2 linked regions of the Schizosaccharomyces pombe genome follow. The protein of the gene in region 1 binds, or shares a complex with, the protein of each later gene. Each region holds a gene or a part of one and is shown on either strand. Other genes may lie near its edges. The genes, in order: slx8 and rfp2.

The links.
Region 2: slx8 (region 1) and rfp2 share a complex: the UniProt entries of both Schizosaccharomyces pombe proteins name them as parts of the E3 ubiquitin complex.

The regions. Positions count from the first base shown.
Region 1 is NC_003423.3:1,287,372-1,292,105, reverse strand, and holds slx8 (SUMO-targeted ubiquitin-protein ligase E3 Slx8), read left to right. Parts: upstream 1-1,894; 5' UTR 1,895-2,145; coding exon 2,146-2,955; 3' UTR 2,956-3,091; coding exon of another isoform or gene 3,092-3,870; 3' UTR 3,871-3,907; downstream 3,908-4,734. Other genes in the region: U3 snoRNA associated protein Dip2, read right to left, coding at 1-1,542; AP-endonuclease Apn2, read right to left, coding at 3,092-3,870, 3,908-4,700. UniProt on the Schizosaccharomyces pombe protein: Mediates ubiquitination and subsequent desumoylation/degradation of sumoylated proteins and proteins containing SUMO-like domains. Acts as a critical suppressor of gross chromosomal rearrangements (GCRs) during normal cell cycle progression.
Region 2 is NC_003424.3:1,678,427-1,682,200, forward strand, and holds rfp2 (SUMO-targeted ubiquitin-protein ligase subunit Rfp2), read left to right. Parts: upstream 1-1,741; 5' UTR 1,742-1,987; coding exon 1,988-2,009; intron 2,010-2,062; coding exon 2,063-2,658; 3' UTR 2,659-3,045; downstream 3,046-3,774. Other genes in the region: wdr70 (WD repeat-containing protein), read right to left, coding at 1-1,216, 1,273-1,542; 1-phosphatidylinositol 4-kinase Lsb6, read left to right, coding at 3,527-3,774. UniProt on the Schizosaccharomyces pombe protein: Mediates ubiquitination and subsequent desumoylation/degradation of sumoylated proteins and proteins containing SUMO-like domains. Involved in maintaining genome stability where it acts in the cellular response to DNA damage.

The sequences.
Region 1 (4,734 bases):
TGGTACGAAATCAAAAGACGATTTTAGAGACCAGAGTTTGACTGTGTGATCGGCAGAGGCAGTCGCGAAGTAAGTGCCATCGTGACCAACCGCTAAATCCCAAATCGCGCCATCGTGAGCTTGGATACGTTCGATAAGAGAAGAGCTAGCAATGTCATAGACTTCAAGTTCTCCTGATTTGTAAGCGGATACGATACACTTGTCGTTATTTATAAAGCTAGCAGCAAGTACATAACCACATTCGATTGTACGGATACAAGATGTGGTTTTCTTGTTCCAAAGCTTCAAAGAGCCGTTAGCACCGCTTAAAATCACATCGTGATTAGCGGACAAAGCCAAGGTACGAACGTCAGCACGATGACCAGGAATTTCAATGGCACTTATACGCGAAGCCCGTTCAGTTAATGGTGCAGCAGAACCTTCAGATTTGACATCCAAAGCGTAAACTTCAATTGAGTTATTTTGAAGAGATGTTACCAACGTAGGTGTACGATTTCCTGGTATCCAAGCTACAGACGAAGCACGAGCAGTGGTTCGAATTAGAGCAAAAGGTTCATATTCGTCTTTTAACGTGATCGAAACGTCCTCAGACTTTTTACGACGGCGTCGTCGATTCAGAATCTTTTCGAGCTCCGCACTTGATCGAAGGCGAAAAACCTCCAGAAGACGGTCATGAGCTTGGAATACAACATAACGGTTTGAAACGTCGTAAGCCAAGGTGATGGGACGGTCACGGCTTTGACGGGTAAAGGTACCTAATTGCTGAAATGCTTTAGTAGTTGGAGTGAAATTATTGTCATCTGGAAAACTGATTTCCCAAACTTTAACATCAGAACCGGTACCAGCAGTGAGGCACCGTTTGGCGTCTGGTGAAACACACATAGCCCAAATTTCGCCTTGGTGGTCGACATGAGTCTCAACGCAATGCTGAATAGACAAATCCCAAAGCTTCATAAAAGAATCTTTGCCAACAGACAAAAGAAACGAATCAGACGATTTACTGTCAACGTCCATGTCGCCGGAATCAATATCTGTGTCCACCACTGTTTCTTCAGCTGTATTCTTCGAAGGAGGTGTAATGAACAAAAGCTTGGTAATTTGGTCCTTGTGTCCACGTAGTCTAAACAAGCCGGTTTCAGCTACAATATCCCATACAATAATGTCGGTATCCATGCTTCCACTGGCCAATCTTGTGCCCATTTTATCAAAATCCATGGTAGTAACAGCACTTTTATGACCATTAAGAGTTATTAAGAGCTCTCCATCTTTCCAAAGACGTATAGAACCATCTGCATAGCCCACAGCGTACATTTCATCAAAGTTTGCAATACAAGTAACTTTTGCCGAACAATCAGAATCCTTCCATTTTGATAGTAATTGCCCAGTCTTTAAATCCCATTCCAAAACAGACTCAAGACCGCCAACAATGGCTCTGCCTACAGATTTAGCAGACGAAGAGGGTTGACCGAGAATATTACATCCCGAAGACGCAATGACACCAAAAAATTCGGTTGGTTCGTACCGCGTATAGCTTTTGACCATTGCGTCTACCCAGACCTAGATTAAAAAAAAGGCGTTGGTTGATGCTAAGTATATACACTCCTCTAATATTCAACAATTTGGAAAAGAAATAGCGATATACATTGTTATCGTTTTTTTATTTTAGCATTCCTTAATGCACTCCATAATACATTTTTGCATAGTTTATGGAATACTCATAATAATGTCGGTTGCGCAGTTTAATGAACTGCATTGAAAAGATTATTGATACACAATTAAGTTTTACCAGCTTTTCTGTTCTCTTTTCTTATTTGAAATACCGCTTGCGCTATTGAATGTGCTCATGAAAAAGGTCATAAATATTAATTAGACTAGCATCTTACAACATTGTGGTAGTGAGCCAATTTTTCCATGTAGACTTCAAAAATCATAGGTCTACTAAATTTAATTTTAAACTTGTTGGCAAGTTGCCAAAATAATTGCTGTTTGCGTATATTGACGTTAACACAATTCTCTTTTATTATTCTAGCAAGCCTGAAAAGCATTTGACAATCGATTAGGATACGATCAAAATTATCCTAATATTAGCCCATTAATCAATAATCTATAAACTATTTTCGAATTTCAGGACCAATTGGCAAAAAAATGCCACCCGCACATAAGAGAGATACCAACGTTAGAAACTTATCTGCACCATACAATATCCCATCTCAATCCGCTAGAGTCGCAGCTGGAAATGCAGCAATAAATAGGAGACGTTCTTCTCCAGTAGAGAATTCGCCAGGAAACGGATTTCCGGTTTCAGAAGATGCAACAGACTATCCTTCAGGCACTACCTCTGAGAATGAGTCTTTACCACTGAATCGTGCACCAAGGTCGCTAAGAGAGGTTGCTTCGGAGCTAGCACAAGAAGAAACACTACCTGTTGAAACCTCTGATTTAAACATAGATGTGGAAAGTGAAGTATTCGACTTGGAAGACATTAATTTTCAGAATGATGCTGATGACATAAATCAAAGATTCACCTACAACAATCATCCAGCTTCCGTTGAAAACAGTTTAACAAATGTTAATAGTATTCACGCGCAACCTACTACTATAAGCGATATGATTGATTTAACTGATGAGACTTCCTATGATCCAAGAAAACAAAAATTTGAACAGGGAAAGAACCCATCGACCACCAACGCCGAAATTGAAAAAGAAGAACCTAGCAAAAAACAGGTTGTTCCATCTTCACAACGACTAGCTGATTATAAGTGTGTAATTTGTCTGGATAGTCCGGAAAACCTATCTTGTACTCCCTGTGGGCATATATTTTGCAATTTTTGTATACTAAGTGCTTTAGGTACAACGGCTGCCACACAAAAATGTCCGGTGTGCAGAAGAAAAGTACATCCAAACAAAGTTATATGTTTGGAAATGATGCTCGGATCTCAAAAAAAGAAATCTTAACCGTACAAAATTCCGTATATACATATTAAGAATGTTAATGAAAGATGTGTGATGCACTGCTCAATGCTTTTTGCGGTTTATACACATCAAAATTGAGAATTGATTAAGAGCAAGTTATGCTAGTCATTACAAATTTTCAGTCCTTTGAATTTGCTCTCCAATCTGAGTCCCAGATAAAGAACCTGCATTGGAACGGTTGAGTATCTTCCTCAGAAACTGCATTTGAGTTTTTAATCAGTTCACCAACCGGTCTGGCACAAATCCAAAACTTCCGCCCGTAATTGATTCCCGGCTTCCTCACTGTCAAATACTTGCAAGGTTCCTTGTGACCCTCACAAAGTGGAGGAGCTCGTTCACTGAATATTTGCTTCCAGGCGTTCCCGTTTTCTACTTTTTTTTTTACTGTCAACCCTATGTCAGATTCATTATTGTTATCAAGGACCTCAATCGAAACGTCTTCTGTTTTATTGGTTTCTTCTTTCTCTTCCTTTTGCTTCGCAAAAAATGAAAGAAGCTTCGATTGTTCTTTTCGTCTTCTCTTTTCCGGTGGGTAGGCATCGACGTCTATGACAGAGTTTGCACGAGAAACAGTTGGTGAGGAGCCGCTGGACGCAGAAGCAGATACGTTTTCGCTCTGAGTGGGTGAGTTGTTTTTATTCTTTTTCATCGAATTGAAATGTTGGAACATTGAATGAATATTTTTTGATGGCCGATAGGCTGAATGATGCGCCGTTGATAGTAAAGGTGGTTCTTTTGAGTGACTTAGAAAGTTGGACAACTTTTTTCCTTCATATTCTTCTTTTAAATCTAAATATACGGGGCAATGATCTGAACCCATGACCTCAGCCATAATATCTGCATCTTGAACCCAAGGTAATAAATCGGGTGTTGCCAAAGTGTAATCAATTCTCGTACCTATCCATTGTAAAAAAAATAACAATTCAGAACTTACCATAATTTGTGGGCCTTGTATTAAGTCTTGTATTCCAACATGTAAACATTCCTTTCCGAGTAGGATGTTGAATACGGCCAATGTCCAACAGTAGTCCCAACCTGCTTGGTAGTAATAAATCACGTATCCATTGTCTTGATTCCATGATGCTTGGAATAAGACTCTCTCGAATAATGTCTTTTTGATCAGCAGTGTCAATAGGATTACACAAAATATTCACATCCCCAACGAGAATGATTTTTCGATTTCCTTCCTTTATCAATCTTTCAATTCTTTCTCGTAAGGCTTTATAAAAGGCCCGTCGATATTCTAGTCTATTTTCTCCAGAGTTTACTGGACAGTAAACACCGATTAGGATGAACATCTGAAAATCTAATAATATACACCTTCCTTCACTATCAATCCAATTAGCAGTTTTTCTGTCAATGTCTTTTGGGAAAAATCCTATCTTTTCATGCTCCGGTGCTTCTGAATATGAATATTTTTGTCCTCGTACTGGCAGGATGCCAGTAATTCCCTCTTCTGCTTTCACTGGAATAGCAACATCTTTTTTTACATAAAATCCAACCCCACTATAGCCTTTTCTGATCTTAGGAAATGTAAAATAACTGTCGAATCCCTCAACAACTGCATATTGTTGAGGAAAGCTGTCTTTCTGCATTTTCAATTCTTGAACACATATTACATCAGCCTGTAACTCTTGAAATATCTCTTTGTAGGAATTTTTTTTATTCCATGGAAAATAATTGAATGGATTCTGTATACCGTTCACATTCCAACTTAGAATTCGCATTCTTATAATTTTTACGTAGAGAAAGTGTGCGAAG
Region 2 (3,774 bases), on another chromosome or scaffold:
TAGGATCTTTGCGTACTGCATTGCGCCGACGCCGTGCTTCCAAAAAATAAGCTGATGCGGATTCAGTCGTTTCCTCTACAAGCCCAAAATCAGAAGTTCCAGCGGATCCACTCAATGAGTTTATATGCACAGTGCTAGATAAGTCGTCATCAATATGCTTCGACTTAGGAGGGCGCATTGCTGCATCCTTAACTCCTCGTATGGACTCATTAGGCGAAAAGAGAACATATGCGTTGCCATCAGCCGACCCCAAAGAAACCTGATTTATTTTTTCGTTCCAAGAGACAGCTGAAACGGAAGCAGTAACCGTCGACTTGGAATCGAAGAATAACGTAGCTTTCGTATCTAATGTCATTGCGTCTAAAACGAATAAAGGTGCTTTCATGCTATTGACAGCTGTAGAACCAGCAAGTATAAGCTTTTGGGTAGGAGAAAATATTGCGTTGCCTCCAGCTTTAGGAGTTAAAATGTCTATACGCTCATTCACACATTTATTAGAATTTCGCAAGTCCCAAACACGAAGGGCATTGTCTTCTCCTCTACTTAACAAATAATTTCCGTCCTGTGAAAAACTAAGACAGGAAATACCTTGTTGTGGTAAATGTGCATCCTTAATTTTCATAACAGGTCGTTTAGTACGAGAACCCTTTTGCCAAAATTGTATGGATCCATCCAGTACAGCAGTTGCAAAATTATCGGGTTTTGCTGGATTCCAAGCACAACTTGTAACTGGTATACGAGACAGTCCGGTGTGAGAACCTTCTGGTACATGGACGAAAACTTCCAATTGCGATTTTGTGCGATTAACATCCCAAATACGCGCAGTACTATCATACCCAGTAGTTAAAAATATTTGAGAGCTATCAGGCTGCCAGCAGCCATCAGTAATTTCAGCTATATGTCCTTTTGTATTGTACATGTTACGGATATATTGATCTCCCTTACTAAACCGTACAATCAACGAGCCATCACGGTCATATAAAATCGGCTGAGAATGGGTATACAATGCAAGGATTTGGTTTTTAGTAGAGCAACTTAATTTGCTCACTGGATAACGACCAACATTGTCAGCATTTGTGTCTGTAGGATCGATAATTTTGAAAGGATGAGGATTAGTAGCAGACAAGCCATTTAAGTCCCAACAATGGATTGTGTTGTCCAAAGATCCGGTGTAAAAACGTGACCCATTTTTGTCAAACGTAGTAGTGGTAACAATCTTACCAAAAATTAGTAAAAATGTAGTAAAAGCAGAAAACTACAAAATCAACTTACCTTAGAATGTCCCGGAAACATAATTTCATGCGAACCTGGTACGCCAACGTCCGTAATGTCGTCCTCATTCTCTTCGCTATCCCAATCCTCAGAGTCTGAGGATTGTAAAGTAGTACTCTTTGAGTTGAGTTTTGATTCGGATTCTTTTTCTACACTGTTTATCAAAAAGCTTTCTTTCGGTCTTATGAATCTTGCAATTAACGCATTTATATCGTATGTTTGTGCTTGCTTGCCAAACTGTAAGGGAATTGTATTATTTGTGCCATCCATTTACGAAAATCTGGATATTGTAAAATTTTAGAGGCTGATATATTGTTTCCCTATTATTTTTTTCAAATAGCCATTTAACTAACTGACAACAAGTTGTTCAAAATATTTTGTAACGAAAAGTGCAGGGTGAGAAGTTTCAATTACTGAGTTGTGGGGTGTGGCAGCACTACGTACTTCATTCTACCCAAGTTAGCGATTTAGGCTTTGCTAATTGATTTATCTCCTAAGAAGATTACATTGAAGCTTACGAGGAGTACATATTTTCGTTGCCGCTCTAAAAATAAAGATTTATAGCAGTGTGCATATTCTTTTTCTTCAACACACAGTGATGCCGAATCATTTGAATTTCACGGGGTTGATCGATTTTACCTACAAGTTGCATTAAAAAAAACTGATAAGATTATAATTGCTTTGGGATTTAATAAAGGTTTATGCTTTGTGTTGTATGAATCTGCATGGACTAGAATGTAAGTGAAAATTTCGGTTTATAGAATATATGTTAACGTCTACACGTTTCTAGTACCAGGAAGGGATCAGAGGTTAAGCCCTGAGGTTATTGACCTAACCGAAGATATAGAAGATGACGGTGCGGATGTTTCAGAAGTTACTTTGCTAGATTTAACGAGAATACCAGAGTTCCAGCCTCGTCGAAGGATTCGTACAAGCCGTAACCACCTTGACGCTAATCTTTCTAATGTTCCAACTATTAATTCTATTCCTTCTCCAGTCACTCGACCTCCCGTGGCTGTTGGAGGGGGGATATTCTATGGTGCACGAAGGACTAGAAACAGGTCTCAAACCCAACGGAGAACCCTTCTTGAAAATGGGTTTCGAAATTCAAGAAAAAAAGCTCAGGATTCATCAAATTCTATCGCCGAAAGGGTATCTCCTCCACCTGGGTTTTGTTATGATGTCCATCCTCATAATAATATTGCATGCGCAAAATGTGGAAATGAGTTAGTAAGTGATGAGAAAAAATCCATTTTTGCTGCAAAGTGTGGACACTTATTTTGTTCTACTTGTGCAAAAGAGTTACGCAAGAAGACTGTGCCTTGTCCGGTGCAACATTGTAGAAAGCGTATAACCAAAAAATTTATATTTCCTTTATATTTATAATTTATCGATTGGATACTAAGTGTTATCCATAGAGGATATTTGGCGGTTAAGTAATACGCTGGCGATTTTTTGGAACGTTTTGTTTTGCTTTAATAACCAGTAATGGTTTTAAAGGATACGAGTTTTTGTAATGCTTATAAGAACTAAGGTGCTCTATTATCCTCAATGAAAAGATTTATTCATTATTGACGATTATTTCCCCTTTTTTCAATTATTTATTCCCGTCTTCGAGGCTATCACACAAAAACAATTGCTTTTCTTTCTATATTGATTCATCATTTTTCGTACAAGGGAAATTAATTAGAGCTTTTCTTACCCTAAAACCTTCTACAAAAAACAAATCTGGATTCAATCTTTTCAATACACTATTTAGATGAGTATTATTTGGGATACTAGGAATTCTCGTAATGTTCAATTTCATGTTGAATTTATTTATTTACTGCAAATTAAAATATTCTTCAGCTAAAAATCTTAGTATATTCAAGGGAGTTTCCTGAAAGAGTTTTTTCTGAATTTCAAATATACAGTAATGTTTGTTTATAATTTACAGTATCTAATCGATTCAAGTATTTAAACATTGTATATATAATATATATATACTGCTTAACGTACTAAACCCACAGTGTGCTACATTACGTTACTCATTGCAGCAAAGATTATGAGCAGTTGATTCAAGTGCTAACCATGTTCCAAGTGTAAAAACAGAGACTTTGCTAGGCAATTTAGGGAAAGAGATACGTTAGCAGTGATTTGACACGCTCATTAATATCATAGTATCACTTTTCCGTTTCGGTCATTCTAGAGTTTTATTTTAAAAAAGCCGAGTTTCGTTGATTCTTGCTTTTGTGCTGTACTTGCACAGGGCGTTATGGAATCGACATTCCATTCAGATACTCTCGATTCTTTTCCAAATTATCAGGAAAATAGTTTAAACACTAATGAGGAACAGACCAATCCCTTAGAATCGTTAAGGGATGGATGGGCTTCGTCAAACAGTTCGTCTTCGTCGAGTCTTCTTCTTCCAGACGAAAATGAGGGAAATGAAGTCTTTGGAAGCTTAAAAGGGCTAGTTACCCAGTCAAAATTTGGTCAATGGGCTAACAAATTAAGCAAGTC